Caenorhabditis elegans: one gene and its partners. The protein of the gene in region 1 interacts with the protein of each later gene in a pairwise test. Each region holds a gene or a part of one and is shown in the gene's direction. Other genes may lie near its edges.

The links.
Region 2: the proteins of nhr-20 (region 1) and klf-2 interact in a two-hybrid assay, tested with the Caenorhabditis elegans proteins (one large-scale study listed by BioGRID).
Region 3: the proteins of nhr-20 (region 1) and ima-3 interact in a two-hybrid assay, tested with the Caenorhabditis elegans proteins (one large-scale study listed by BioGRID).
Region 4: the proteins of nhr-20 (region 1) and ztf-16 interact in a two-hybrid assay, tested with the Caenorhabditis elegans proteins (one large-scale study listed by BioGRID).

Annotation. Positions count from the first base shown.
Region 1 is NC_003281.10:4,229,911-4,236,302, reverse strand, and holds nhr-20 (Nuclear hormone receptor family member nhr-20), read left to right. Parts: upstream 1-3,083; 5' UTR 3,084-3,100; coding exon 3,101-3,299; intron 3,300-3,575; coding exon 3,576-3,752; intron 3,753-3,873; coding exon 3,874-3,962; intron 3,963-4,104; coding exon 4,105-4,165; intron 4,166-4,270; coding exon 4,271-4,428; intron 4,429-4,580; coding exon 4,581-4,900; intron 4,901-5,204; coding exon 5,205-5,320; intron 5,321-5,368; coding exon 5,369-5,526; intron 5,527-5,584; coding exon 5,585-5,680; 3' UTR 5,681-5,867; downstream 5,868-6,392. Other genes in the region: F43C1.5 (uncharacterized protein), read right to left, coding at 5,910-5,950, 6,193-6,392. UniProt on the Caenorhabditis elegans protein: Orphan nuclear receptor.
Region 2 is NC_003283.11:20,683,063-20,689,837, forward strand, and holds klf-2 (Kruppel-like factor 2), read left to right. Parts: upstream 1-2,620; 5' UTR 2,621-2,636; intron 2,637-2,667; 5' UTR 2,668-2,754; intron 2,755-3,845; coding exon 3,846-4,034; intron 4,035-4,082; coding exon 4,083-4,503; intron 4,504-4,548; coding exon 4,549-4,608; intron 4,609-5,478; coding exon 5,479-5,708; 3' UTR 5,709-5,768; downstream 5,769-6,775. Other genes in the region: F53F8.3 (RING-type domain-containing protein), read right to left, coding at 5,774-5,919, 5,973-6,456. UniProt on the Caenorhabditis elegans protein: Probable transcription factor which regulates lipid metabolism.
Region 3 is NC_003282.8:7,557,728-7,564,624, reverse strand, and holds ima-3 (Importin subunit alpha-3), read left to right. Parts: upstream 1-2,960; 5' UTR 2,961-2,964; coding exon 2,965-3,039; intron 3,040-3,084; coding exon 3,085-3,155; intron 3,156-3,268; coding exon 3,269-3,484; intron 3,485-3,529; coding exon 3,530-4,124; intron 4,125-4,167; coding exon 4,168-4,646; intron 4,647-4,725; coding exon 4,726-4,834; 3' UTR 4,835-5,884; downstream 5,885-6,897. Other genes in the region: F32E10.9 (TPR_REGION domain-containing protein), read left to right, coding at 1,488-1,612, 1,662-1,827, 1,915-2,112; nprl-2 (Nitrogen permease regulator 2), read right to left, coding at 5,929-6,052, 6,097-6,799, 6,844-6,897. UniProt on the Caenorhabditis elegans protein: Binds specifically and directly to substrates containing either a simple or bipartite NLS motif. Promotes docking of import substrates to the nuclear envelope. Seems to act as a cytosolic receptor for both simple and bipartite NLS motifs.
Region 4 is NC_003284.9:4,804,953-4,814,460, reverse strand, and holds ztf-16 (Zinc finger protein ztf-16), read left to right. Parts: upstream 1-2,920; 5' UTR 2,921-2,935; coding exon 2,936-3,008; intron 3,009-3,221; coding exon 3,222-3,277; intron 3,278-3,521; coding exon 3,522-3,666; intron 3,667-3,769; coding exon 3,770-3,861; intron 3,862-4,215; exon of another isoform or gene 4,216-4,353; intron 4,354-4,571; coding exon 4,572-4,640; intron 4,641-4,804; coding exon 4,805-4,894; intron 4,895-4,956; exon of another isoform or gene 4,957-5,097; intron 5,098-5,790; coding exon 5,791-6,015; intron 6,016-6,207; coding exon 6,208-6,387; intron 6,388-6,455; coding exon 6,456-6,581; intron 6,582-6,629; coding exon 6,630-6,833; coding exon of another isoform or gene 6,834-6,917; intron 6,918-7,584; coding exon 7,585-7,767; 3' UTR 7,768-8,463; downstream 8,464-9,508. UniProt on the Caenorhabditis elegans protein: Positively regulates the expression of ver-1 in the amphid sheath glia of amphid sensory neurons. Together with ehn-3, plays a role in somatic gonad development and is required for proper gonadal primordium assembly and somatic gonad precursor cell morphology.

The DNA of each region.
Region 1 (6,392 bases):
AACTTCTCGCCCTTTTTCTTCTCTGTTTTTTCTAATCAATTGTCTCCGGTTATTTGAATCACAAAAGGGCGAACAACACATATTTGACCAAAATATAAATATTTGAAGTTGAAACTCGATCTTTTTTTGCTCAACCAGTTTTTTGAAATTCCTATACCCTCTTCTCATTTTTTTGGAGTTTTTCCTTGCGAAATTTTGTGCCTTGGACTTTTTGTTTTTCCTTTTATTTTTAATGTGCACAAATGAATAATATTCTAATTTCCCCTTGGAAAAAGTGATCGAAGAAGAACAAAATTTGGAGTTTCGTGCCAGTGGTCTGTGCAGTGAACACCTTGTTTTTCCTGTCTAGAACGCATCTCTATGAGCTCATTTTGGTAGTTTCCTTGGGAATAGCACCCTTTTATGATCTTCTATTAAGTGTATTTTTTAATACAATAAATCCTTGTGAATTATGATAAATTTTCGACCTCTAATTTTCTCAAATCACTTTGTATAACCTCCCAGAAAATTAGAAAAATGTTAAGCTAAACTTATGGTGCATCGACTGAACGATAATGCTGTCGAAAATAATTTTTCTGATCGTTCTCTACTAAAAATTCAAAGTTCAACTTATTTTATATAGCTTGGTCTTCTGTTTAGCATAAACAAAAATATATTAAATTTTTTAGTCTGCGTAGTTTTCTCTTCCTCGTGTGTCTATTTCTAGACGACCTAAAGCTCCCGTTAATAAATTTATTCCAGTCGTCGCTCGATTAATCCCCCCTCTGCTTGGTCAGAATGCTCTCTTGATCTAATAATTTGAGATTTTTGTGACTGGTGTTTGATGGAAGACGTTATCGAAAAAAAAACAAATTTTTGGACCTGGGGTATAAATCTCTAGGCTTATAATTTTATTGTTTCTAGAACATTGTTTGCTTAATTTTCAGAAAATGTTTAGAATTGTTTAGGTTTTATCAAATTTGAATACTAATTGATATTTGCAGAGAAAACAACGTTTTTTTGCTAAAAACACTTTTTTTTGGAAATTGCTTTAAAATTCGTCGAATTTCAACAAAATTATATTCGAAAAAAATCAAAACTTGCCAAAAAACAATTTTCTATTCGAAATTTCCCCTTATTATTTTTTTTTCTGCCAATTCAATTTCAAATTCCCACGCAAAAAAGGCGGCCACCGACCAATCACCTATGTTGGCTACGCCCACTGCGCATCGCTGATTGGTCTGCGCCCTCTCACGACTATTTTTAAAATTTCTGAATCAAAATAACAATTTATTCGCAAACAATCTGACTGAGTTTCAAGAATGCAGCCAAATTTTTTTGAAATCTGAAACCAGGTTTAATTTTTTGATCTCTTTGAATCCCTGCAGAATTCATTAACATCACGTCACTACTAATTATTTGATTATATGAATCACTTGAATCAGCATCATATCACTTTTTATCTGGGGAATATCAAAATGTTTACTTTCAAAAAATTCCCACGTGTGTTTTTTTCCGCTTTTCGGGACATTGCAAACATGTGATGAAAGCATAGAAAACTAGAGTCTAGTTGTAAATAGGGACAAGTTTGAAAGGCTTTTCCTTTCTCTTTTCTTCTGAAAATAGACTAAGAAAAGTGTTTCTGAGAAACGATTTTGATGGATAAAAATAATAAATTTAATTTTCTCCTTTTAATGATTTTAAACATTAAAGCAGAGAAAAGTTGGATTTTGTCGAAATAGTCTAAAAATTGATTCACTAAAATGTTCTAGATTTTCAATAAGTTATGAGCAGCCCTACACTCGTTAAATGCAAATTTTTGAAGCCTAACTGAAATATAAAATCGTAGAGAAAACTTTTTTGGCCGAATTCCAATATTATGGTAGGTAAAAACATAGCAATCTCTAATTTTTTAGTGAAAAAAAAATTCAAAAATTTTTTGGAAAGCTTTACAATATTAGAGCAACTTTCAACAGCTCTTAACTTAATTTTTATGAGTCGTAGCAAAAAATTTTCACCTGCAAAAAATAAGGATCGCAATCGAAAAATACCGGTAATCTCAGCAGTGGTCGTTTTTTGGAAAATTTGGCAAATTTCAAAACCTAGAATTAATATAAACCATGAAAATTTTGTGTAAACTGAAAATACCTCTAACTCTAAAAATTTACAAACTTATTTATCGTTAGTTTAAAAGTTTCCAGATTTTCGAATTCTCATTCAAATTGCATGGCAAATTGGCATTTTTTTTTTCAAATTTTGGATTGTATTTTCAAACTTTCACAAAGTTTTGATATAATTAAAATATTTATTTATTTTGACTTTAAAAAATATATGCCCTGAAAACAAAGCTTGACACTGCTCATAGAGGAAAAAATACCAATCGGAAAAACACGGTAAGTATTTTCAACTGATCACATTTTCATCCAAAACAATCAATTTCGAGATGTATATTAATACAATTCATAGATTACTATAATATTAATAACATAGATCACAGCTCCACCACCTACACACATCCTATTTTGTATCTATCCAATAATTGAATCAAAGAGGCGTGGGGAAATATTTTTCGGAGAGTTATGTATAACAGTAATTCCTTTGTTGTTTAAACTTTTACATGATAGCCAAGGTTTACAATTTGCAAATTTACAAAAATTAACTTGGAGCCATGTGCCTTTAAGCTTCTGTATCTCTGAAAAAGGATAACATGTCGCAACCAAATTATTAGTATTTCTGACTAGTACCCTCGGTGTAAAAATTTAAGTTACTGAAAAATCGTCAGTTCTTAAATGTACAAAATTATGCCAGTTATGCAGAAACGTTTTAAATTGTATAAAATGCTGTCAGAAATAGACTATATCTCAACGCGCAATTTCAAGAGATCATGATGCTAGGAGAGACCGGTTTCATTTATTTTCGCGATAGTATTCCTCAAAATGTCATGCACAATTTCACACTCTATTTCACTCATACAGATGATCATCATATTTTTTCTCTGAACGTATTATCTCCGGTCAATTGAACTTCTTTTTTTTTAAATATTGACCTTATATATTTGTTACTCATCTGGCTGTGTACATTTCGCTCATAAAAATAATTTTCAGCTGTCAAAAAACATTGAATGAAACAAGAACGATCAAGTGGTGGTTACAGTGGCATTCCACCCACATCCAAATGCCTTGTTTGTGAGCATCCAGATGGTGGCTCCGCGCATTTTGGGAGTACATCATGTCTGGCGTGTGCCGCGTTTTTCCGAAGGACCGTATCGCTGAATATTCAGTTTCAGTGCAAAAAGGACAAGAACTGCGTGATATTTCATGGTAAGCATCTGGAAATGTGGCCGAATTTTTAAGGTCCTGCAAATAACCAAAAATGTTCTACGTTTCATAGAACGGAAAAAAATATATTATGCAGCGCTCAACATTTTATAGGTTTTTCTAGGTTAGGGGATAGACTCGAAAAATAAAAAAAGATTGTTCACATATATTTTGGGAGTAGTCCGGGTCAGTCAGCAGGCATATTCCGATCTGAAGGCTTACGTGATAGAATCGGAGTTGCAACTTACCTACACACCCACTTTAAAACTACTTTTCCAGAACTCCGAATGATTTGCCGAGCTTGTCGATTCGATAAATGTGTGAAAGCTGGTATGCGGCGAGAATGTGTACAGAAAAGAAGGTCGAATAAGAAAATTCCGAAGAAACATATGAATATGTTGAGAGAAGATCAAATTAAGATGGAATATGATGAGTGCAAGTTTGAATGCTCTGGAGGTGAGTGCTCTTTTTGAAGTTAATAAACTTGCGTGTAAAATACGATGCATTAAGTACGCGTGACTCAATGTATCGTGGCGAGACCCGTTAACTCCTTTTTGAAAAAACCCAAATACTTCAGACCAAACTGATGACAATTCTCCTCTGTCGATTGAGAAAAAATCGCCGCCCGGACTTCTTCCAAATGACAGCCCAATGATGGCAGACTTTGTAAGTGCTTATGAATATTCAAGCCTTCAATAAGACCTAGAAAAAAAACATGTGTTAGGCAGGCATGTAGGACTGAAACCTGCCTGCCATGGAAACTCTAGGAACAAAAACTTAAACATTTATATTTTTTCTAAATTTTCAGAAGTTTGACCCCAGCGATATCCCGTCAACGAGTGGTGGATCAACGCAGAGGTTGGAAAGATGTGAGTTTTTTAGTGGTGGCAAGACCCACGGAGAAAGACGTCATGTACTTTTAAAGGGACATCTCAGTATTTTCAAACAAAACTTACCCAATCAAGTAATTTCAGCACCGTCTCCAAAACTGGCAGAATCGAAAATCCTCAGTATGAACGGAGAAGAGTTGCTTCGATTTTATGTGGATCAGTTGAAAAACTCAATGGACCGGCGACGAATGATTTTTACGGATACTGCACTTTTAGCTGTCATTGATGATCGAGGCGATGTGGTGAGTTTCCCATTTTAATCGGAATTTATTTCAACTTGTGCACAGTTTTTGAAGTAAAATTTAAAGTTTAAAACTGTGCACAGGTTGAAAATAATGGGCGTGGCTTATTGGTACATTTTTTATACTCCTAGTCGAAAAGGTCAAATTTGCAGCCATTTGACGCAACGGAACCACCTCCTCACTCTCTGAAACGACAATACGAATCTCAACGATTCGATAATCTCCTGGCATTTGACTTTTGTAAATGTTGCCCCGGATTCGATTTTCTTAGTCGAGTGGAAAAGGCAATCTTCTTTAGAAGTTGTTCATTAGCCTACTGCCTGCTGGATATCGCTTGGATTACTGTACAAGCTTACCCAGAAGAAGCCGCCGAGCCAGTTTTAATGTATACGGATGGAAGTGTGTGTACAGTTAATAATTTATCGTATGGATGGGATGATGAAGAGGATATTTGTGCGCATGATAAGAAAAAGTGAGTAATTCATTCAATATTTTGAGCACTTATTCGTTTGGAATAAGGAAAAATTTGATTTTGGGCGCATATTTTGAATTGAGAGCTCTCTAGAGAGAACCAAATTTTTGGCTATCGATGCACCATGAAGAAAAATTTTTTAAAGTTAATATAACACAAACTGAAATTCAAATAGAAAATGTGAATTAGGAATAACTTTACTGTTAAATAAGGTCACTACGACCTTTTTTCATTCATGTTGCATCAAATAATTGTCCTGAAAACTTGAATGTTTTGGTCAATTGAATTTTATATTATTTTTCAGGCTATTTCTTGGTTTTTTGGGTCGCTTCAATGACGCTATTTGCCGGCCGATCCGGAATTTAAAAATGACACACGTGGAATTTGCAGCTCTTAAAGCTTTGTGCATTTGGAAACTGGGTTAGAATTCATCTAGTGAGAAATTAATAAAAATCAAATATTTTGTAGGTTACTGTGAATTTACTCCAAGTATGAAAGTAATCGGGAAGGAACACGAAGAAGCATTGCTCAACGGATTACACAATTATTATGATGATTTGTACGGAAATCCTGATGAAACTGGCATGAGGATAGGAAATCTCATTTTGTTAATGGGAACTGTTTTTGTAAGTTTTCATTTACAACTGATAAATGAGACTAAAAAATAATGTTTATTTCTTTCAGGAAATGAATCAATTAATAATGGAAACCTACAAATCGGCGGAACTTTTCGAACTATTCAAGCTAGATGCTCTTTCAAAATCCCTGTTGACACTTTAGTGGAATTTGTTTTCTTTTTTTGTTTTTAATATTTTAATACTTTATATGGAAAAATCAACATTTTACGGGTTCTCTCTCATCTTCTGTCTCCCATTTTCTTGTATTTACTGTTCCTAATACAAAATATAGTTGCGCATTTCAAATGTGATCAATCTGCAATGTGATAAAATAAAATGAATTCATTATGAGTCTCCTTTTTATTTAACAACTGAAAAAATAACAATTTAGATTATGGTGCTGAAAATAATCTCGAAATTCGTGATCCGGAAGCTGAAAAAAATAATATTTGGGTACGGTAGTTGGTGAAATACGCAAACACCGCCACGCGTATTTGCGGACTTTTCATTTTTCAAAAAAATTTTTTTTTAATTTTCTTTGTTTTTTTCTGCAAAAATCGTTATTTCTCTTTGATTTTTTGCGGGAAATTTGTGATTTTTAATGGTTTCACAGATGTTTTATCGAAATATCAACTAAACATAGTCTCGCGACCCTATAAATCATGGCCACCCCACCTTTTCTCAACGTTTCCTTTATTTTCGCCGCGAAATTCTCCGATTTTACTTCTCCCTCCCCGATGTATGGTCCATCTGGAACACGATCTTCGTCCGATCGTCGTCTCGGTTCCAATTTTTTCGCTTTGTTCACACTAATTTTAGAATTTTTCGAATTTTTCCCGGGAATTTTCACATGCCGGCGCGATTCTTGAATAGAA
Region 2 (6,775 bases), on another chromosome or scaffold:
ATCGTTGTATACTTTGCTTACTATTGATTTTTGTGTGATCCTGTACAAATAAATGTAATTTTCTGTAGTATTGCAATATTGTGAAGGTTAGGCCAAAAAAATGTTCATGTTGAAATATTTTCTTGTCCACGTCAAGAATCATTAAACTTCCGAAATGTACCAGCATTCTAAAATAATTTTTGAAAGTATGGTACGAGATCTTTTTGTCAATTTTGATTGCATCTTCCACGCGGGTCTGGCTTCCATCATAAATTGAAATGTTAGAGTTTGCCGAACTAGGCCATTTTGGCTCGGCCGCATCTTGGGTAGATTTACGGAGCGTTGAGTGCCGCGTCGCGGATTGGTTTTTGTTGTAAAACTGAATTTTTTTTTGTCCCTTTAGAGTACTCGACTTTTACACGCGTCATCTCCGGCAGGCGATTGTCAATGGAGCGCGAAAAATGCAACCAAGAAGGTCAGAATTACGATTGTGTTGGGAGTTATTTTGTATATTGTATCGTTTTCAAGATAAGCTGACTAATGAGGTCCTATTATATGTAATAGATTATCATATCTAGAAACAAGATAATTCTGGAAAAGATTTTTGATTATTCTTAGATAGTCTTGTTTTTTATGTACTTATCTGCGAAAACTAGAAATATTTTTAACGACTATTATACTAAAGTTATTATATATATTTTTTAAGGGATTCTTAGAATTCACCTATTTTCATAATACAAATTATAGAGGATATAAAAAATACCTATATAATAGATTGTAGTTATTGTATTTTCTCACTTCCGTTGTCTCAAAAAATGGAACCTCTTCTAATTATCCTTTTCGTTATTTATTGTACAGTTTTTGTAATTGGGACTACTGGAAATTTGATTATGGTCCTGGTGACATATTATTGCAAGTAAGTACATCAACAATTTAAATTTAAAAAAAACAAATTTCAGAAATCTCCGGTCAATTTGCAACGTCCTTATTGGTTTGTGTTGCTTTTACGATCTATTACTTGCTGTTCAATTTTAAAAACCAGATTCCAAAAATCGAATGAAAATTGTTTACGACTCATCTTGCACTTTTAAACACGCAAAAATGTAGAGTGTCAGACAAAAAGATACATTGCCACTAAATTTGTATGTCTATGTAAATATATATGTGTATATATAAATATATTTCAGAACATATGTACATACTTGTTTACTCACATCTGAATTCTCTTCGAGATCTTCTAATATTTTTATTAGTTTTTTTTGTCAAAACTCAAAATCCTGACGGTTACAATTTTTACAAAGAATTAGGTTGCTGGAGTTGCCTCAGTTAAAACCATACTGCGAGTTTTACCAGTCGAACACACCTTTCCATTATCTCAATATATCAAACATTAATCAATCATAAAACTGATATGGTCCCGCCGCAGTTGAAAAAAAGGAGACCGCCCGTCCAAACAATATTCTCAAGTACGTTTACATACCTAGTCGGCACTTTTAACAGTAATCACTGCTTCCTCCTCTTCCGCACCCACTTACTGGATTGTTCGCACCCGTAAAATCATAACTTCCCGACTGTAGCAAGGCGAGGCGGTAGGGAAGAGGGTACTAAAATTGGAGGTGGGAGGGGGGGGACGTTTGGATAAACACAGCATTGGGGTATCATTTTAGAGTACTGTAAGTGATACTGTTTGTGGATATGTATAGTTTTTTTTTTCAATCTAGCGTCTACATTTCCCTTCTGTTTTTAGTCCCGCACGTCATTTTCAGATTTAAAACCAAATCTTGGTTGTGACTTGACTGTCCGCAAATCCGGCAAATAGGCAAAATGCCGGTTTGCCTATTTGTCGGAATTTTCATTTTCGGCAAGTTGCCGGTTTGCCAATTTGATGGATATCAGATTTGCCAAAAATGTTTAGAGGGATTTTTTTTATAAGACGGAAACACTTAAAACTGTGCCTTTTTGAATTTTTTTCCGTTTTTTTTTTTGAAATTTTCATAGAATTTTCATAGAAATAGAATTTCTGATTTGCCGGCAATTTGCCCATTTGCCGGAAAAATCGTTTGCCACCCACCCGTGATGTACTGTACTATTGATCAAAACCGGCATAACTTTGGAGCACTACAAAGCCTTGTGTTCTTTCTATAAAATTTCTGAACTTTGAAAACAAAATTATTTATCACATGTCCTTTTCCCAAAAAACTCCCTTCCTTCTTCTATTAATGACACCCATCTCCCCTCCACACATTTTCCGCGCACACACCTTTCTGCCACCCCTTTCTCAGAGAAACAACAAACCTCCCCGTTTTTTGGTTACTGTTTGCCCATGCCTATCAGTTTTGACATGCTATCATAAAATGGCACTTGCAGGGCATATGTGCGCCTTCTTGGATAATTTTCTTCTAGCTTGACCATCGTCTTCTTGACATGTTTATTTTTTTTCGAAATGCCCAAAAGTGTCGTAATCTTTAGATCAAACATATCATGACCACCATCTACACATGCTCAAGTTTTCTGTATTTTCTATTCTTGGGGGGAAAGAAAAGTTTGCTCAAGTTTTCTGTTTGTTATCATAGGAGTGACCGGTCTGGTGTCACCACACCCCTTTTTTGGAGCCTGGGGAGCTCACTTTTTTGTAGACCAGAAGAGGTGTGTATATTCGCTTAGGATGTTTATTTTTGTGGAAACATTAGTCATTTTTCTTTAGTTTCACGATAGATGCTCTACTAATGAAGGCACGTATTGTAATCTAGCATTAACATTGTTTTGTTCTTTGTGGTGAGTACATAGGTATTTTGTTTTTAGTGAGTTAGTTCCTACGTGTTCAGTGCATTGAGAGTTAGAGCCTTATAGTTAGTAGTTAGTTCCCAGAATTTCGAACTTGAAAGTTCTTAAAAATGGAGCAGCGCCATTGGGGAAAATGCTAAAAACAACTCCTATGGTGTCAAAAATGACCGAATATCAAAATAAAACTTTCAAAAAAATTTTGAAATTTTTCTATTTACTGTCAAAAACTGACAAGTGCTCATTCTTTGCCACTCATAATTTTAGAAGTCGGAAAAAAATTTCTTGCATTTTTTATATTTTCATTTTGTTTTAATTATTTGTTTTAAAAAATTATAGGGGTCGGAACATGCGACACTGCATTGAATTTCCTCAAAGGCTCATATTTTTCAATATTTTGGCAATGTGCCAAAACTTTGACCTGGAATTATGAGAAACCTAAAATTTTTAGGAGTGTTGCATCATGATATTTTGTCGCTTTGGTTTAATATAAGTGAGACAAAATTCTCACAGGCGCTACTCCACCTTTAACTTTCTTATCTCTTGAATATTTCGGTTTGAGTGTGAATTCTCTAAATATCAAAAAGATCCAAAAATTTTGCTACTAATTCCCCCTATTTGTATATACACTTGTGATATGACGTAAAAACATATTCACAAGAACTACAACTTTCGCTTTGAAAATTCACAACAAATATCGAAAAGTAAGCAGTAGGCAAAGAAGAACGCAAGACTTTTATGACTTGAAATGTATTGAACGAGAATGAAGACGTCACATTTGTGCGTGTGTGTATGCACAACGGTATTACATGGTGTTGTTGTAGTGTTGGAATATTTGTACTATCTACTAGTAGAAGTTGCCTTACTTTGGCTTATGGTTAAGATTTTCACTACAAATTTAGAACTATGCATACAATTAGGTTCAGGCATTACATCTTTTTTTAACCACAAAATGAATTAGTATTTGCCTATGCTAATTTTTATTTGACCTTCTGTTACAATGTAATTTTTGAAAATTCGTTTCAGAGTCTCACTCTTTTTTGGTGATTTTCAATTTATCGTTATTCATCTACAACTCCTTCCAGATGTACTCTAGCATAGTCCCGTCTAGTTCAAATGGTTACTATCATCAGTCTCAATACCAAAATGCCCATCACCAACATCATCAGCAGCATTATCACCAACAATCTCATCATCATTATAATGGAGCAGCTGCGGCTCCAGTCATCAATGTTCACAACTATCATTTTCATACGGGACCTGTTAATAATCAGGTTTTGTATTTAATTGAAGTTTTTAAATTCAATTTTCTATTTTTTGAGGTCATCGAGCAGCACTACAATCATCATAACCATGTCCAACAAACTTTCGAAGAAAATATTCCACAAGGCCCGCACAGTTCTTTCAATTTTTCCCATGACTTTCCACAACAGAATAATTCCGAAACTCACCTCAATCACATGGAACCTTCGATGACTCCAATGGAACATCAAAACTCGGGAAGCTCGACACCATATCCGTTTGAAGCCAAGTTATTCGTTCCATCGCCTGCAGCGTCTGTATCCAGTTACTCATTTTCAAGCGATTTGTCGGGTAAAGACGAGGAAGATCCCAGGATTCCTTTAAAAGATCGTGGAAGAGTATATCATCCGCAGAGCACTGAAAAACCAAAAAAGGTGCCGAGTAAACGGAGGGATAAGGCTACTTTGGATCGATTAAGAGTTCATAAGTGTTTTTATCAAGGTAAGTTGCAAGCGTGTTTAGCTTAAGCTTGAATTTCATTTTCAGGTTGCGGCAAGGTCTACACAAAAAGTTCCCATCTAACAGCTCATGAGCGTGTTCATAGTGGTGAGTAGCTTACAGAACCTCATTATACATAATTAATCATATCCTCCTCTTCAATGTCGTGAACAGCGCGCACTCGTCGGCACATTGTTCTGTGTAACGGGATACTTCCGTTGACAAACACGCTTCTCATCAATCACTAGATACTTTTTGTAACGAATGCACAGGAATCAACTACTGTTGCTATGTTATGTTAGTCCATATCAATATTTGGCCTTGTCCGGTACTTCGCGGCATCCCCCTTTTAGAAGTATCGAATAAGGAGTTGTAAAGTATCAATAAACTGTCAATTAAGTGCGTGGGCCTATGGATATAAGAATTAGGAGGGTTGCGGGAAAATTGGAAAATAATAACTTACCCAATTCCTAATGCTTCGGAAAGTGTGGAAAATGCGAAAGTTGCTTGCAGGAAGAACGCCTGAAATATCTATTATATTTTGGTTTATCTGGTGATTGACGAAACTCAGAGTCGCGATTTGATCTGACACTGAGATCGTCAGCTAAGCTTTTTAAAATGTTTTTTTGCTGCGAAAATCTAAAAATTTATAAATTTGCAACTGCTTCTTGGGAAATTAGCTTGCTTTTTATTTCTAAAACGGTAAGATGTAAAGTTTTCAACTTTTATGTTAGTTGAGCACTTTTTTTTAATTTTGAGGTTTGAGAAACGGATAGCCAAAGTCAGTTTTATACAGATCCGGTCGTAAATTTTCAACAACTTTTGATATCCGCAGCAGAAATTAAGATTTTTCAAGCTGAAAATCTCAGCTTTCAAATGATGTTAGTTTCACACCAAATGGCCACTTGGAGTTTTGAACATTCCCTAGTCAGCAGCTTGCCAAAGTATTACCTATTCGATAATAATCTTCTCATTTAGGTGAAAAGCCGTATCCATGTGAATGGCCTGGATGCTCTTGGCGATTTGCACGATCCGACGAGCTAACCCGCCATTACCGTAAGCACACTGGAGCCAAACCGTTTGCATGCAAAGAATGCTCCAGGAAATTTTCGAGAAGTGATCATTTGCAGTTACATATGAAGCGGCATGAAACGGATGAACAAGACGATGGAATGGATGATTTCAAGGATTTCATGACTTTTATTTGAAGATTTCGTTTCATTATGAGTGAGATGATACGTTTAATTATGAATAAACAGTAGATTGAATCCTTTCACATATTAAGAACAATGTAGTTCTTTGGCAAATTATTGAGTGGCGTAGTTCCAATTTTTGTGACAATCCGGCAGAAAGGGCATTTGATGTACCCTTGCCCGACAATTTTTTGAACACATCCCATGCACATCGTGTGACCACAGCCTGAAAATTTTCAGTTTTCTACTGAATTTAGAAAAAAATAATTTAAAACTAACCCAAAACTCGCGGAGTCTGATCCATAGTTTCTCCCTCAAACTTGCAAGCACAAATTTCGCAGGTTCTCCATGGGAACGGTTCTCCTCGTTGCTCTTCCTGACTCTTCACATGAAATTCTGTCAATTGGTTCACTCTCCTTCGATACCCGTCTGTGACTCCCTGCTCTTTTTTCACTTGTTCTTCGACGCGAGACATATCGTCTCTGAATCGCAATTTGAAGGAAAAGTCGTTAAGTTGCTCCTTCAAACTCATGTTTTCTCGCAGTAATCGTGCCATGTGTGATTCTTGAATAGTGAATTCTGTATTGACTTTCAGGGTAACCCTTGACAGTTCTTCATGATCTTTCTTCAACTTTTCCACTTCACTCTTCAACTTTTCATTCTCCGCGGTTAATCTCAATTTGACCTTGTTGGCTTCTTCCTCTGCTCTCAACTGTGCACCATTCTTTCTTTGGTCCGCGTGCCTCGAGCTACGTCGCAACATGGAAATTCTGAAAAAAAGTATGATTAGTTAAATGAGTAAATGAGAGAGTGGGAGAGTATATTTGAATAAATTAAAGGTTGCATATGAACAGAAATTGAGAAACATAGTAGAGCTGGATGAAATACAAGTATTATCTTATCAAAGTGATCATAACATCTCTTGAATAATTAAATAATGATTAAATAAGAAAAAATGGGAAAAGAAAACCTTTGCGGAAACGCAGAGCGCGCCGAACTGGGAGGAATAATTATCGATTCGCCCTATGCCCTATGCGACGAGCGTTTCTTCCCGGGAGGCAAGTCTTGTTGAGTAGAAAATG
Region 3 (6,897 bases), on another chromosome or scaffold:
ACGAAATCTAATCTCCAAGTTTCTCAGTAATCTATAGTTTTCATTTAGATTACTGAAAAATATACACAGATTACTTTTGAGTCTGAGAAGTTATTGTAAAACGCAAAGCGAGCTCAAATGTATTTTGATAAAAGTGGCTATTTAGGCTTAAGCCGCGCCATACCGCCGGTGTGTCATAAGGATTTCCAATATTTTATTCCAGTTGGGCATCCTAGTATGTTTTTCGGGCCTTTAGGCTTAAGTGTGTCATAAGGATTTTCTATATTTTATTCAAGTTGGGCATCCTAGTATGTTTTTCGGGCCCTTAGGCTGGTTGGATTGGGATTTCCAATGTTTTATTCCAGTTGGGCACCCTAAGTCTAAATAGCTCTTTTTCTTTTCTATTGCGCTCCAAGCGCAAGGAAAAGCCTTCTTGTAACTTTTTAAGAGGGTTTCATATATTTTATTAAAATCGGGGCGAAGCCCTGATTTTAAATCCATATTGTTTTTTTTGTCTTCCACTATCCCTGAAAATAGGAAAGAGAATGTGTTCTTTCTGATGAAGTAAAAATCAGGATTTACCAAAACAGGATGCATATAAACATGGATGGAGTGGGCGGAGCGAATTCGCAATCACCGCACGCTTATTTCGCAAGCCTCGCACGTTTTTTCCTTGATTTTGTTGCATTTTTTCAAAAGAAAAAACGTGCGAGGCTTGCGAAACAAGCATACGGCACTATCAAAATTTATGAATCGATCCTTGGATTTTGCAAAAACTTTTGTCGTGCAGAAAGTTGGGCGAAGCGTCCTTTCGCAACACTGCCGCGTGGGGTTTGCCCACGGCCCTTTTTAACTGCTTTCTTGTTGATTTTTTAAATAAAGTTTCGATTTTTCTTTTTTTTTCGAATGAAAATGTTATCCAATTCGAAAAAAGAGAAAAATACAAGTAAAATCGAAACTTTATTTGAAAAATCAACAAGAAATTAATTTTTGCAAAATCCAAGGATCGATTCATAAATTTTGATAGTAGTTGTCAATTGGCTCCGCCCACTGCATCATTTTTTGGTAAATCCTGTTTTGAACTGCATTCTGTTTTGGTGGGGCCTCGAGACCACAGCTTTACATGGAGGCTTAGCCCATGCACCAAGTGAAGAGCTAGTCATCAATGCATCTAGACTGGAAGGATCCATCGCTTCCCGAGTAAAGTTGCTTGTGATCAAAGGTGTCAGTGTCCCCTAAAAATTACAAAAACGGGACAACGGGAATTCCCGTTCCCGTGAAAATTTTTAAAACGGGACAACGGGAATTCCCGTTTCCGCGAAAACACCCAAAAAACGGGACAACGGGACATCCCGTTCCCGTGAAAATGACAAAAACGGGACAGCGGGAATTCCCGTTCCCGTGAAAATTTTAAAAACGGGACAACGGGAATTCCCGTTCCCGTGAAAACACCCCAAAAACGGGACAACGGGACAAACGGAACACGGGAATTGACATCCTTGCTTGTGATGGGATTGGAATCGGACAAAATCAAATGCAAGGTCGCAATCATGGCTGAAATTAAGAGTAGAGGGAATCTGAAAAGCTCCCGAAAAATTTTTGAATCAGCTGCAGCAAAATTTCCGAACTGCCAGTAAGACAACATTTTTTAATCAATTTTTTTGAAACTGACTTACTTTCAGAGCTATAATAACCGGACGAGTCATTGTAGAAGAGAACGCAAATCGCGGTGCTGAGGCTGAAAAGCTTACCCGTGATTTTATCACCAAAAATACTGACGTCAGCGGAGATGAGTTGATAAAATTTATCAACTACATGGAGACCTACGATTCCAAGTTTGGTTTAAAGGTAAGCCTGTAAAACACTGAAAAATGTTAAACGAATTATATTATAACTATATTCTTCGCAATAGTGATTCAAATTGAACCATTTCAGGCTGCAATTCAAGTTGCAAAGGACAATCTTCCATGGGCCGGCGAAGAGAACATAGACCAATGGGTCAACTGGGTCAACCTACTGATTAGTCTGAAAAGTTTCAAAAGTTCCAAACTTTTCTGTGAACACGGCATGCCAGCAGCGTTGGGGAGTGTATCTTTTCTTAAGTTTTTCAATAGATCTTTGCGAAAACTGTAACAGGATCGACACTGACCGAAGCAGATCAGGTGTTCTCCTGGATCCAGGAACACAACAAGAAATTGCGGGAAAAGACGGCTAATGTAAGTTTTTCGGACTAGAAAATACTCCTGGTTTTTTGTTCAAAAGTATTATATCAAATGCATTTGATGCAAATGCAAATGCAAATGTAACCATAAATATCATTATTTTTCAGGTGGTGCAGGATGAGAGCGGCGACGAGTAGGATGCAATCACAAAATTTATTGCTTTATAATTTTTATAAAATCCGCTGTTATTAATATTGTAAAGAATGTTGAGTAAATAAATTTATTATTTAAAATTTTTTGTTAAAAGAGCTTGGTACCCAAATGTATTTAAAATTGCCATATTTTGAAACCATTTGAAGCGAAGTTTGACATTTTAATCAGACATTGTTTTTTGTTCTTAATATCTTTAACATTTACACGTTTTCCTTTTTTTAAAGAAGATCCATCCAAAAACTCCGGAGCTTCTTTTCCCTAGTTTTAAAATCTACGAGTGAGACCTCTTATCTGCCAATACGCTCTATTGTGTGCGTTGCGTGTCAACCGCGACGCTTCTGCGACATATTTTGTCTCGTTATCGACTATAATTTTTCCCCAATCCTACTGAAATCTTTCCATCTTACATGTAATTCATTGGATTTTATTTAAAAATTTCTGTTAAAGTTTCTCAATATCGCTCTTTTCTTATTTTAAATAATTAAGCTGTAATCTTAGATACTTTTTGTGTTGCGAAATCTCTGATAGAAAGTTCCGCAGTTTTTAAACGTTTTTTGTTGCTTTTTACTTGCGCTACTATTCATTTATCAAGTTTTTTTCTTTCAGCAGAATGAGTTCAAACAGACAGGCTTATTATAAGAACAATGCCAAAGAGCAAATTGGCAAGGAAAAAAGGAACGAAGAAGTAAGTTCGATAAACTTGTTAACGCATACATTATTCAATTTTAAGGTGGTTTCGATCAGAAAGGATAAACGAGAGGAGGCAATTTCCAAACGGCGTAATATCAATACCCAAATTGAGTGAGTTTTTCATCTGATTTTATATGCTTCAGCTATGAGAGCTAACAAAAGTGTTTCATACGCTTATCACAGTAAATTATCTGTTCCAGTTTTTGAATTGTTTTAATTTTCAGAGATGATTCTGAGACTTCAACAACCCCACCAGGTCCATTTGATGCCAACCTCCTCCGGTTGACAGTCGCTGCTGCCCAATCGAGCGATCCCGCTGAGCAGCTGACTGCTGTTCAACAAGCCCGTAAAATGCTATCAACTGATAGAAATCCACCAATTGATGACTTGATTGGCAGTGGGATTTTGCCTGTCCTCGTTCAATGCTTGTCCAGCACGGAGTAAGAATTTTCATAAGGTCGCATCAAATTACTGTAAATTTTCAGTCCAAACTTGCAATTTGAAGCTGCATGGGCCCTTACCAACATAGCATCTGGTACATCAGAGCAAACACAAGCCGTCGTGAATGCCGGAGCCGTTCCTCTCTTCCTGCAACTCCTGTCATGTGGAAATCTGAACGTTTGCGAGCAATCTGTCTGGGCTCTTGGTAACATCATTGGAGATGGACCACATTTCCGTGATTATTGTCTCGAACTCGGAATTCTCCAGCCACTATTGCAGTTCATTAACCCGGAGATACCTATTGGCTTCTTGAGAAATGTCACATGGGTTATTGTCAATCTCTGCAGGTGCAAAGATCCGGCACCAAGCCCAGCTGTGGTTCGTACGATTCTTCCCGCCCTCTCACTTTTGATCCATCACCAAGACACCAACATCCTCATAGACACCGTTTGGGCCCTTTCTTACCTCACCGACGGTGGAAATGAACACATTCAAATGGTTATCGAAGCTCAAGTTGTTACCCATCTCGTTCCACTCCTTGGACACGTTGATGTTAAAGTTCAAACAGCAGCACTTCGAGCTGTAGGAAATATTGTGACTGGAACCGACGAACAAACACAACTTGTGTTGGATAGCGGAGTAAAAATTTTCATTTATGACTTTTCCAAATCTTAAATTTCAGGTTCTTCGGTTTATGCCAGGACTTCTCGCCCACTACAAAGAGAAAATAAACAAAGAGGCTGTTTGGTTTGTCTCCAACATAACTGCTGGAAACCAACAACAAGTTCAAGACGTATTCGACGCCGGAATCATGCCAATGATTATTCATCTTCTTGATCGAGGAGATTTCCCAACTCAAAAAGAGGCAGCGTGGGCTATTTCCAACGTTACAATCTCTGGCCGTCCAAATCAAGTTGAGCAAATGGTAAAGCTTGGTGTCCTTCGTCCTTTCTGTGCGATGCTCAGTTGCACTGATTCGCAGATTATCCAAGTAGTGCTTGATGGAATTAACAACATTCTGAAAATGGCTGGAGAAGCTGCCGAACAGGTGACATCAGAGATTGAAGAGTGCGGAGGTCTTGACAAGATAGAAAATCTTCAAAATCATGAAAACGAGGACATTTACAAACTGGCTTTCGAAATTATCGATAACTTCTTCAGGTAGGAGTCCAATTATATTTGATAAAAATCTTCAGAGTCCGTGTGCGAATGTTTGGTGTATACGTTTTTATATTTTCAGTTCCGATGATGAGACTGGCAACGTGGAAGGAGCTCAAAGTTCTGCTTTTGGAGGCGACGTTCCACCAGTTCCTGATGCTCCAAACGGAGGATGGAACTTTGGAAAGTAGATCTCCATGATTCCTTTAATCACAAAATACGTTTTGTCTTATTTCTCGTAAACAATTTCGCATGCCGTTCCCATACAAATGTTCATGTAGTTTTCGTCTTACTATTTTTCACACCTCACTTTTTGTTAGGTTCTCGTGTATTTTCATCTGACACGCGAGTTCCTAAGCCAGCTTCTCGGAAATGCAAGCTCTCTTTCATGTGAGATTTTGCACTTTTTGACCAATTGAGTTTGCACGTTCTTCTACAATCGATTGTCAATTATCTCATCCTTTCTTTATCTCTTCGTTGTTTCTGTACCATCAGTGATTTGATTAACATTTCACTTTTTCATCCACCATCTTTTTTCCATTGTGATTAATTAGTTACAATGTCCCCGCCCTCTTCTTCGTGTGTGCGAGAGTGACTGTTTTATGATAATATATTTCGATTTCTTTTTAAAGTGAGTGTGTGAGTTGTGCATTTTTGTTGAGTTTTGTTTTCATTTTTGTTTCCCATTCGCGCCCGTTCATTGCCCGCGTCCCCCACCCTCATCCTTTTATCATTGTTACCGCGTCGTTTTCAAATCTCTCATCATTTTTCCCAGTCCCTCCAATCCCCACGGTCCCCAGATTTTCTCTCTAAAAGCGAGTATTTTCATTTTCTTCACATGTTACTTTTATTAATTCTTTATCATATACATAATTTCAATTTCTTAGAACTTCTGATCCCCCTAGTTTGCTCATTTCCTAGTCATCCATCATCATTCTCGATTTCATTAGTTCTCGGAGAATCTCGTTGATAGGCCAAAAATTCCAATCACCCTGCTCCTCTTAGTTCTCGTGGACTCCAGTATTCTTTTTCTTGAAACCCCACCCATCCCGTAAGGCCTTTTTAAAGGTATATCGAGCCGTCCCTCTTCTCATCATCCATCTTCTTTTCTCATTTTCCCTCTCATCTTCCTCATCCCATTTTCCTTTCTCCCGTTTTGCTATTCTCGATTGTCTCGACTGACTGGCCAATATTCCCTTTACCTGGTGTGTGCTCTCATAATAAATAAATCAAATTTATTTGTTAAAAGTTGTTGTAAAACGAAACAATAATACACGATTTTCATTTATTTCATGACAAACTCAAATTTTCCGGTTTCTTCCAACAGTGAGCAAAGTTGTTCGGGGTCCACATTATGTTGAAGAGAAAGTTCGTCAATTGAAGTTTTTCCATTACACCGTTTCAGGAGACTTAAAATTGTATATTATTAGATAGTATTAATTGATTAACTTACGTGTTGTTGCCTGGGTTTGCAACACAAATAGGATATTTAGAAAGTTTACGAAGAAACTGATGATGCATTCCAAATTGTACAAGTCGCTGTTCATCAATACCCATCGATCTTGGTTTCTCCAGATCGGCCCATTCTGCTAGATTGTTGCCGCACTGAAAACGTAGTCGATTGCTATCAGATTCGTCGATCGGAAGTTTAGGTCCCACCACTTTCATGCTCAAATAAAGTCGGAACACATCCGAAAATTCTGGAGTTCGCGTTGGAATTTCTGAGCCGTCTGCACCGATTTCCGTTTGAATTTTCACAAACTCAAGGCAGTCATTGATTTCCGTTTGATTTTTGTAAAAGTCGTGAACTCTTTCAGTTGCCACATATGTATTATAGTAGAGAAACATTGGAACAAGACTGACACATTCGTAGAAGTGTAAATTACGAACACATCTGGCGACGAGGGATGGATCAAGTTCGAGAATAATAGCAATCTCTCGAACTGTATTGATTCCATCAATTTGAGGAATAATCTTCTGTGACAGAACATCCATTTTTTCTATGAGATGATCGGTAAGCGTCACTTCTCTTATGAACATTGGAACCATATGATAATCGATTTCTGGAGGTTCACATCCACGATACAATGGGCATAATTTGAAATATAATGTCACAATCTTTTCATCTTCAAGACTGACTTCAATCACACTTTCGCCTAAATTTAAAATCTTGTTATTCATAGAAAAATACAAAGTTTACCTTTATTCGACAGATCATTGAACATTCTCTCCATTACATCAAGAACCTGATCCT
Region 4 (9,508 bases), on another chromosome or scaffold:
CGTTATAACCATCGTATTTATCCTCCCACCTATTCCTTGACATGAGTTATCTCGACTCTGGTTTTCCGAAAATTTGATTTGAAATTGAGGCTGAAACTAAAAGAGAAGCCGAGAGAGAGAACTGACGAATTATCCAGAGTTATCAATCAAAAAACGCAGGGCAGCCGAAACTTCCACAAATCGGAATAATCAAATCCGACGGCCATTGCTTTTTTAATTCTTTTTAGTCCTTGACTCAATAAAATCAATGAATTCGCGTCTCGCTGTCTTCTCGATACATTTTTTCTGGATACTTGATTTCATTTTTAAGTTGTATTTCTTTTTCCGTGACTCACTCTTCACATTTCATACACACTATCTCTTTCCTAATCCAAGGTTCTTGATGAGAGGACGTATGTCGGTACCTAAAGTGTCAATTTTTCAATTCCTGTTTTTTTGGTTATCATCCTAAAAAATTTCACGTCGTTTTCCAAGGTTATTGAAACATTATTGTACTTTTTGTGAATTTGGTGCTCTCATAACTCATTAAAGATCAAAACAAATTGAAAACATGAAAATTAAAATCAATTTCGGAACTAAAATCTTCGTGACACTGTAGATGTTTGACTTGATCATACGTTCAGACGAAACAACAAAACATACAGGAAGAAGACACATATGCAAGCATTCACACCTTCTCCTAACATCCTTGTCTTCTAATTTTGTAACATTTCCGAACGGACAAAAAACCACAGAGATAATGTTAGAATGATATATAATCCTTGGAAAACCACGAGATCGTCAAAATCACTTGTTCTCCCTCCAATTTTTTATCTACATTTGACGTTTTCCCAAATGTTCATCCAATTGTAATTCCACATGCCTTATCTATTGGAAGGTCATTACTATGTTCCAGACGCTCTTCTCACTGCCACAAAAAACCGGGTTTTTTTCTCCATCGTAAGGAGGAGACATAGTGCGGAGAGGGAGGAAGTCTCCCTGCTGCAGCTAGTATGGTCTGAAAAGATCCCGTCGTCTTCACTTTAACCTTGCCGACCTTCTAGGCCACCCGCAACGGCATCCCCTCTCCCCCAGTGCCTTCTCTCCAATTTTTTCATTCTCTTTCTTCCGAACGAAACGGTGTGAGTGTGTGTGTGTGTGTGGGGGTGGGCGCTGCGTTTTTCTGATGAGGTGCGCGCAGCTCGATTTTTTCTTTACATCTTGCGCCCCCGGGCGACAGATAGAGATGATGCCCGTTGCTGCCTGCCGCCACTGCCGCTGCTGCTGCCATCGACAGTTTCTTCTTCTACATCGTTTTTCTTCTTTTTTCTTCATCGTATTCCCAAAAAAGCTTGTTTGGCACCCCGCGACACACGCACTATCTCACCCCCTTTCTCTCTTCTTGTAAATGCCATTCAGAAACCGTCACCTCCTCCCCCCCTCGATCCCCGCCATCTCATTTTTTCATTGCCATCCGCGTAAAGTCGTTTTTCCGCCCTGCCACCCCCAGGTGTAATCCGCCCCATATCAGTTTGCCAGCTTTTGCACTTTTAGTTCTACCGTATCCAATGCCTGCGGTGCCCCACCCCCAGAGATTCCTTCACTCCATATTTGCTCCCCACCATTCCTCACACCCCAAATTTCTCTTCCTATCCTAGAACCTAAAACATAGAACCTAGATTTATGTATCGCAATCTTACCGTTCTCCTCCGCAAACGTAACGTCATACTAGATGCGAGTTTGCTCTCCAGTCACTTCACCCATCTCAATTACCTGTTAGCACCATCTGTCCATCTAGACCACCTTCCTGCTAGTCTCGAACTTGTAGTGGTGGTTACGCGCAATTGACAGTAATCCAGTATAGACACACAGCCATGCAATCATCAACATAATTGTGCTATAATCCACCTGGCATTACTTTGCCTTCCTTGAGATCCTGTTCTTTTTTCTCAGGTTCCTGAATCTTATTTTTGTGCTGGTTTCAGATTTTGATCATTGAAAATTTTCATTTTATAACATTTTTACCCTATCCACCCAATCCATCAAATCTCTTTTTCGTGTTTATGATGCAAATTTTGTGTAATAGTATATATGTTTTGATGTTTCGTATCTTACACACCATGTCTGGATGCGATAATTAATCCATATTAGTTCCTCCTGTTTTTTTTAATGTTCATCAACTTTTTTTTCTTATTGCTCCTCGTAAAGGTCCGTAAGATACCTACTGCCCAGCGAATACACACTTTACCACTTCTCTTACAAATATAGTAAGCACACAGTAGCTCGTCGCTATGAGTGCAAGTCAAATCCGGAGAAGCAGCTTATGGAGTACACGGGGAGGCATCGGGTTGAGATGTTTGGCCAAACCCGGAAACCGTATCTCGGTCCTTCTTCGCCTCCGCCGCCGCGAGACGACAAACAACTAGGCGAGGTCACCTAGCTGCTCTCAAAACCGTGGACCAGGCTCTCGCTAAATCAAACACACTCATAACAAGTCCAACTCGCAGTGGTTGCTAAAGAAGCTGGCTATCCATAAATTACTGCCTACTCCCCAAATTCGTATCCAGGCGCGTAACCAGTAATTTGGCGAGCCGTTGTAAATGCTTGTCAATGTGATCATACCTATGGATCCGGCTCCTCCTTTTCCCCCTCCTCCGCTTTTTTCGCTCCGATAATACATATTTTTCCAGTCACTCTTAGTATTTCCATTTTCCAATTTTCCCATATATTCCTATATCCGCCTGTTACCATTTCCTATACATTTCCTTTCTTATCTTCTGCCATCCGTAAACACACCTGATTATTGTGTGCAAGTCTCGTCGTGCCATATTCCTCGCTTTTTTCCCCTATTTTTCCTCGTTGTTCTTCTTTTTGTCGCCCATTTTCGTCTCATTACCAGATATTCCCTGTCAGGGTTTTTCATTTTGCTATGGTTATCATTTCAGTGATCTCAACAATGGATGAACTGAACGCTTGCACAGAATGCGGATTCACGACTACTGTATTTTCCGAGTTTCAAGGACATATAGGTAACCAACCTGTTCGGTGATACATGAATGCCAATTCGTTTGAAACATCCACCTACCCGCGCTTTGTCCATCTTTTTTTCATCTTAGAACGGAGACAAACCCGTAAAAATTCGGATTTGTAGCGGTTTAGTGAGCGCTTCAACCCATTAACTAACCCGCTTCTATTGCGTTTCACATTTAGCAACATTACCCCCTAATACTTTTTTTTTGCAGAGAAGCACGAAAACGAGCACAGCAGGTCTTCAAGCGGAGAAATGTCTAACTCGCAGGTATGTTATGGGAGAGTAAAATTCATCCAGAAGAGTGAGAGCGTGTGAGTGAGAGATATAGAAAAAAGGTTGCGTCATAATGCCATATTTGCCTAATTAGTGCCAGAGGTAGAGAAGATATGTGAGGGAACAACAGAACGTGGAAAAAATGAAGAGGGGAGGGATGTTGGATGTGACGTTGTAACACGTCTTCCAGACATGCCCCCTGAGACTCGTTAGAAACATTGAGACCAAGGCTTTTCAGACAATCGAGTGGGGAGATGGTATTCAGTCGTCCACGCCGTCGCCACGGTCCACGCCCCCTTCAGATCCAACGCCGAGTCCGGACTCGGATGAACATCTTGAACATCACATTTCGATAACAGAAATCACAAACACTCTCATCAAAAGTAAGTTTTCTTTGAATTGCATTTTCTTACACACTGGAATGTATTTCTATTGATGGTTAATTACCAAGTACCAATATGCAATTGTGAAACCTAAAAATTTCAGAAGAACCAGGCACCAAAGGACAAAAGACGGTTCACGTTTGCCCGCACTGTAATTTCACCACTTGTATGTCGCAACACATGAAAAGCCACTTGGTAGGTTCAAGGATTTTTACCCGTTTTCTTGAAAGCATTCTCTTGTTCTATAGGTGACGGAAGAGTGAAAGATACTTTCAGTACATTATTACGCATGTTCCCAAGGGTACAAATTAATTTTAGCATGTAAATCTGTTGATGGATATGAAAGTCTTTTCAATTTCCCTCTTTTCCACTTTTCATCAATTCCTTGTAAGGTGGGTCCTGTAAGTCAACACTCCGTGAACCTTTTCTCTTCTCCCACTCGCTCCATGCCGCTTTTCTCACAAACTACTGTTTACTTTCTATCTACTGTCCAGTTAACTGCGTCTCTCACTTGACCCTACTGTTTTTTGTTCCGACGGCCAATCCCATCACTTCCCGAACGGTCATCGGGATGAGTAGTAGTGGAGTGGTATGGGAGAAGGAGGCAGGCTCCTCATATATTGGCTTTTCTTCTTAAGGATGTTGCCTTTCATGTGAGCCGGTGTCATACTAATTGGTTAAGGCAGAATCTTCCGAGAAACCAAACCAAAAAAAACATAGATTTTCCCTTTTTCGGTTATGTAGTGACATCAAGCGGTAGAGATTGGGATGGGTGGAAGAAGATGGGAGGAAAAAGAGGCGTTTTTGGAAAAAGAAACGGGAAGACCAGATACGGGGGCAGTACAAAAAACGTGATGACCTTAGAAATCACATGACATACCAGTGAAGATTCTTGAACATTTCAGGAAGCGCATGAACGCCATCAAGGCCAAATGTACCAATGCGACATCTGTAAAATGCAGTTCAGCCAGAAGGTGAGCAATTTTTAAAACATTTTCTGAATCGGAATCTGGTTTTCAAACACTCGACAACTTTTGAATCATTTGGATTTTCCAAGTATGGTTATCGTGCTGATTGATCTTCTTCTTTGATTCCCTTTTCACTTTCTTCCTGTGGTTTATCAATGTTGCGTTTTCAGGCTAACATGCATCGTCATCGGATGCGCCACAGCGGTGTGAAGCCATACGAGTGTCGTTTTTGCAAAAAACGATTTTTCAGGAAAGATCAGGTATGCTTGTCTGGCATATTTTTTATTACCCTCCACCTCCTAGCCCCACCATTTAACGGCTGTTGCGTAAGAAGCCGCTGCCGCCTTCCGTAACTCAAAAATCGTGTTTTATCTTCAATTTACGTAATCAAATGGAAAGTGAAACTGATCTCCCGTAAGGAAAGGGAAATTGAGGGAAGAAGGAGGCGGCGGATTGCCGCCTGAAGGTCGTTTTCAATTTGGATATTTTCACTTTCCCGGAAATAAGAAGAGTCTCTTCCATGGATGGCAGGGAACTGCCGCAGTGCCCATCAACCATTTCTTCAAGCGCTCTGATGATATCTGTTTGCCCAAAACCGTTCTTGAAGGTCGACGAGCCTGAAGAAAACAGGAAAATCGGGGGGAACCAATTTGACGGTATTGGTGTCAGGTTATGCCGTCGAATATGAAAACGGTTGGCGCGTCTTTCTTCTCCGATTCTTCATACTATCCGACGACGTTGGTGAAGATGAGAAGTAAAAGACCTTGACGATAGCACGCGCATTTTCTTCGGAAGATCCTACCTCCCATCCTACCTTCTAGCATCTTCTCGATGTCTCCATATTTTTGCCGCTCTTTACTGTGTACCTTACCCCCAGGGCCAATCAGTAAAAAAAAGAAGAAATACCAACCGTCGGCGGTTTTTTTTTTGTTCTAGCTGCGTCTCTGATTGGTTCCCGAAAAGTTGAAAGCCATCACCCTCGCTCGCATCAAAAGGGGTTTTTATAATGAAAGACAAAGGTTGCGGGGCGAGGAGAAAACCAGAGAAAATTGTAAATTGTAATATTGTGTGAAAGTGAAAACCGATTTTTAGATGTTAAAAACATACCGTAGTCATGTTTTAAACATGTAACTTAAAATAAACCTATAACTTTCAGATGCAAGAGCATTCAATGACACATATCAAAACGGGTTTTGGTTTCGACTGTCCAGTATCACAATGTAACATGCAGTTTAGTCAGCACAATGCACTCCGAGCACACTTGGAAGAAACGCACACAATTTCGTCAACAAATCCCGCGTCATGTAAGCGATGTAATTTGATGTTCGCCAATTCGCGACGTCTTCTCCTTCATTTCCAGACAAGACATGACGATTCTGAGGTAAGAGATGTAACTTCAGATTACACGGAAACGTAACACATGATTAGCGAGCAGAACCTGAGCCTTATTAGGTGATGTTTTTCTCGTTCTCGGAGCTTAATTCGGTTGCCCCAAGAGACGCACTTTCCGTGGAATCTCTCTCATCATGTGATATCCTGAACGTGAACTCTTATTTCTCATTCTGATTTTCAGTCTTCTCCGAAAAAAGAAAACACGCCAAAAAGGAAGAAGCTGTCGAATGGAAATGCTTTGCCAATGGATCCTGCGAACATGAGCATAACAGAACAGTTGCAAAGAATGGTGAAATCAGAGTTTAGCCCTCCAAACACCGACACCTCCGATAACTCCACAAGTTCTGAATTCGACAAAATTGTAAGAATCTTTCTTTCGTTTCTTTTTGAATAAAAAGCATTTCCATGATTCCATGGTTTTATTTTCAGCCACCAAGCTTCCCTATGGCTAACCCAGATATTTTGTTGATGTGTCTAAACCAAATGAACCAGTTCAATGGATTCGGAGAAAACATCCCAAGACCAATGCTCAACATTCCAAATATTCCATTGCCGGTATCAATGAAACCTTCACACTTTCGCTAATTAACCTTTGCATTTCAGGCTCTTCACAACATTCCAGCAGTGGCAGCGATTGTGAAGCAGGATCAGGTGCAACTCTGGTCAGAGCAGACGTCAAGCTCTGTGAGTGTCAGTGCTCCAAGTCCGAGTGAACAGTCGCACTCGCCGCCAGCCAATGAGTCATCACTTTCGTTAACTGAAAAAGAGAAATCACCGACTCCCGAAAAAGAAGACGAGGAGAATGTGGTATGTGTTATCGCTAATAACAACTTGTTATTGAAAATGTCACCATTTTGTTTACCTTTTTTCGAAGTGCAATTAGAATTGTGAGCATCGTCAACAGAGTTTTTTTTTCCAAAAATTGGGACTTTTGATCCATTTCTTTGTTGATGCCAAAATTTGGTTTTATCAACCTTAAAAACATAGACTGATTAAATGATTGCCAATTTGTTGCAACTTTCGGAACGTTCTCATTTGAGAAAAAATCTAAAAAAAGAGATAGAAAAACCGAACATTACACCATGTATAGTTTGATGAGGAGGTTTTCAATTTCTCGTAGATGTCACAAGTTTTCTTTGAAATCTGAAGGATGATGGATTCTCTACATCACCCACCTTATCAGAACTATCAACTTTCTCTTCCGAAATTTGAATTTAAAGGAAAACTATAGGTTTTAGGTATTTTGAACATTTTGCAATGAGACTTCTCAAAAAATTTCAAAAAAAAAGAGTTAATTTTAGCTAAAAGCCCGGCCTTTGCCTTTTCCGGTTCGCAGCAGCTGATACCATTCAAAAAAAAGTTCGGACTGCTGCAGTTTTTAGCTAGAATTTGGCAGGTTTTTTCAAAAATTCAAATTTCGATTAAAAAAAACTTTTTAAAAAGTTTCTGTTAGAAACTTCATTGCAAAGCTCGTTAATTCGTGCGCTTTCTGTATATATACTCAAAACACTCATAACCGTTACTCATTTAATGGCATCTAACTCTAGAATTATTTTAGGAATGCTGTCATTGCGGAATGATGTTCTACGACAACACAATGTACCTGCTCCATAAAAGTCTTCACTCGGACGGTGATCCTTTCAAATGCGCATTGTGCGGAACTCAGTGCGGCGAGAAGTACATGTTCACTACTCATGTCATTTTTGCCGATCATAGTACTCAAGCAACGACTTCCGCCTGAATTCACCATCATCCAAGAAATATCCCCCCGATTGCCTTTCAGTTTTAGTAGTCAGTCTAGCGAATCCAAAACACCCCCATTCTTTCATCCACATTTTAATTTTTGTTTTTTTTTTCGGTTTTCTTCGGTTTTTTTCGATGCATATTCACAGTCAATTCTGATTACCTCTTTATTTGTCACTTTCTTTCTTCATAACAGGGAAACAACGAATGATTCTGCTTCTTCTCATTGATTCTCAACAGCTCTTTGTCTCTATCAAAAGTATTTGCCCCGTGTTTTTGTCTATTTCTCATCAATATTAAACCATCAAATATCATTATTTACATTTTTAAAAACTTTCTTCATCTTCTCCTGATTCTGCTCTCTATCTTGTTTCAATTCATTTGCACACGTGTCAAAAGTCATTTTGGACCCGTTAATTTTTTCCGTAACCTTGCATTGTTAGGTTTTTGTTGTTAGTGTTTTATTTTCCTTTCTCACCACCACCCCTCATCAAAATTTGTACAATTTCAATGATTTCTTCGAATGTATTTTAAACTAGTGAACTTCAACTGATATTCAGAATTTTTGAAGGCCTCCTTATCTGTTCCACCCATCCCAAACATTTCTTTCCGATTAGAATAGTAATTTTATCAAGCTTTCTCTCTGTCCCACTGTCCCATCAATTTTCTTCCCATTTCAAAATAAATTTTGTTGAAAACATACTGGAGAATAGAATACTAGAAAAAAGTCATGGTGGCTAGGAAAACGGCTAAATGGATTGGCAGGCAGTCTGTGATTGACATTGGCCCAGCGTATATGGTTATGAGTCGTGTGCTGCTCACTACGGACAATCCGGTTCAGTTGGGCAGTGTCCCACGGGGACTTGCCAAGAACCCAATGCATCAACATTGTGCTCTGCAGGACCAACAATAGTGGCTCTCTTTCTCATATTTTTGTCAAGATTAGCGACTACTAGATCAGTTTTATTTATAGCCATTTGTAAGGACATTTGAACTATTTATGGGTTGTTGTTTTATTTCAAACTGCATCTATATTTGTTAGCAGATTGATAAAAAGTAGAACTATCACAACACAAATTGCAGGTGCCTTTCGTCAGTTATCTGACAGAACATGATTGAGAAACACGGTTGGCGAAGTTTCCAGTTTTTGCCATATTTTTTTTACAATTTCGCATTAAACCTAAAAATTCATGTTTATTCACATAATTTGATGAATGAAAAATTAGCTTGCTGGATTCTGAAATTTTGCAATTTTTTCCTCACAATTTTATGCACAAAAAATTTTCAAAAAATTTTGTTGAATATATTTTTTGAACTATAAACAAATGTTACATTTTTACATTTTATGAATTTTAAAAATTCAGAAAACAATAAAAACAAAAATTCCGGTGCTTTTTAAAATATCGTTTTATGAATATTCAGTTTGATAATTTCCAGGAATTACTATTTTTTTTAATTAAATTTTTTAATCTCAAAGACGGAAGTGTAAAAAATTGTTTTAAAATTTTCCAAAGTTTGCTTTTTTTTTTCAATTTTTTCAATTTTTTCCAAAAAAAAACAATAGGAAAACAATCTTCGACAAATAAAAAAACAATCTTCGACGGAAATTCCCAGAAAGAACAGAAACTTGAAAATAGAACAATTTGAAAATCATAAAACTTTTTTTTTTTGATTATACATTACTTCACTTTTAAGTTTTAACGTTACATTCCTTTTTCAAAGTTTGAGCTTCAATTGAC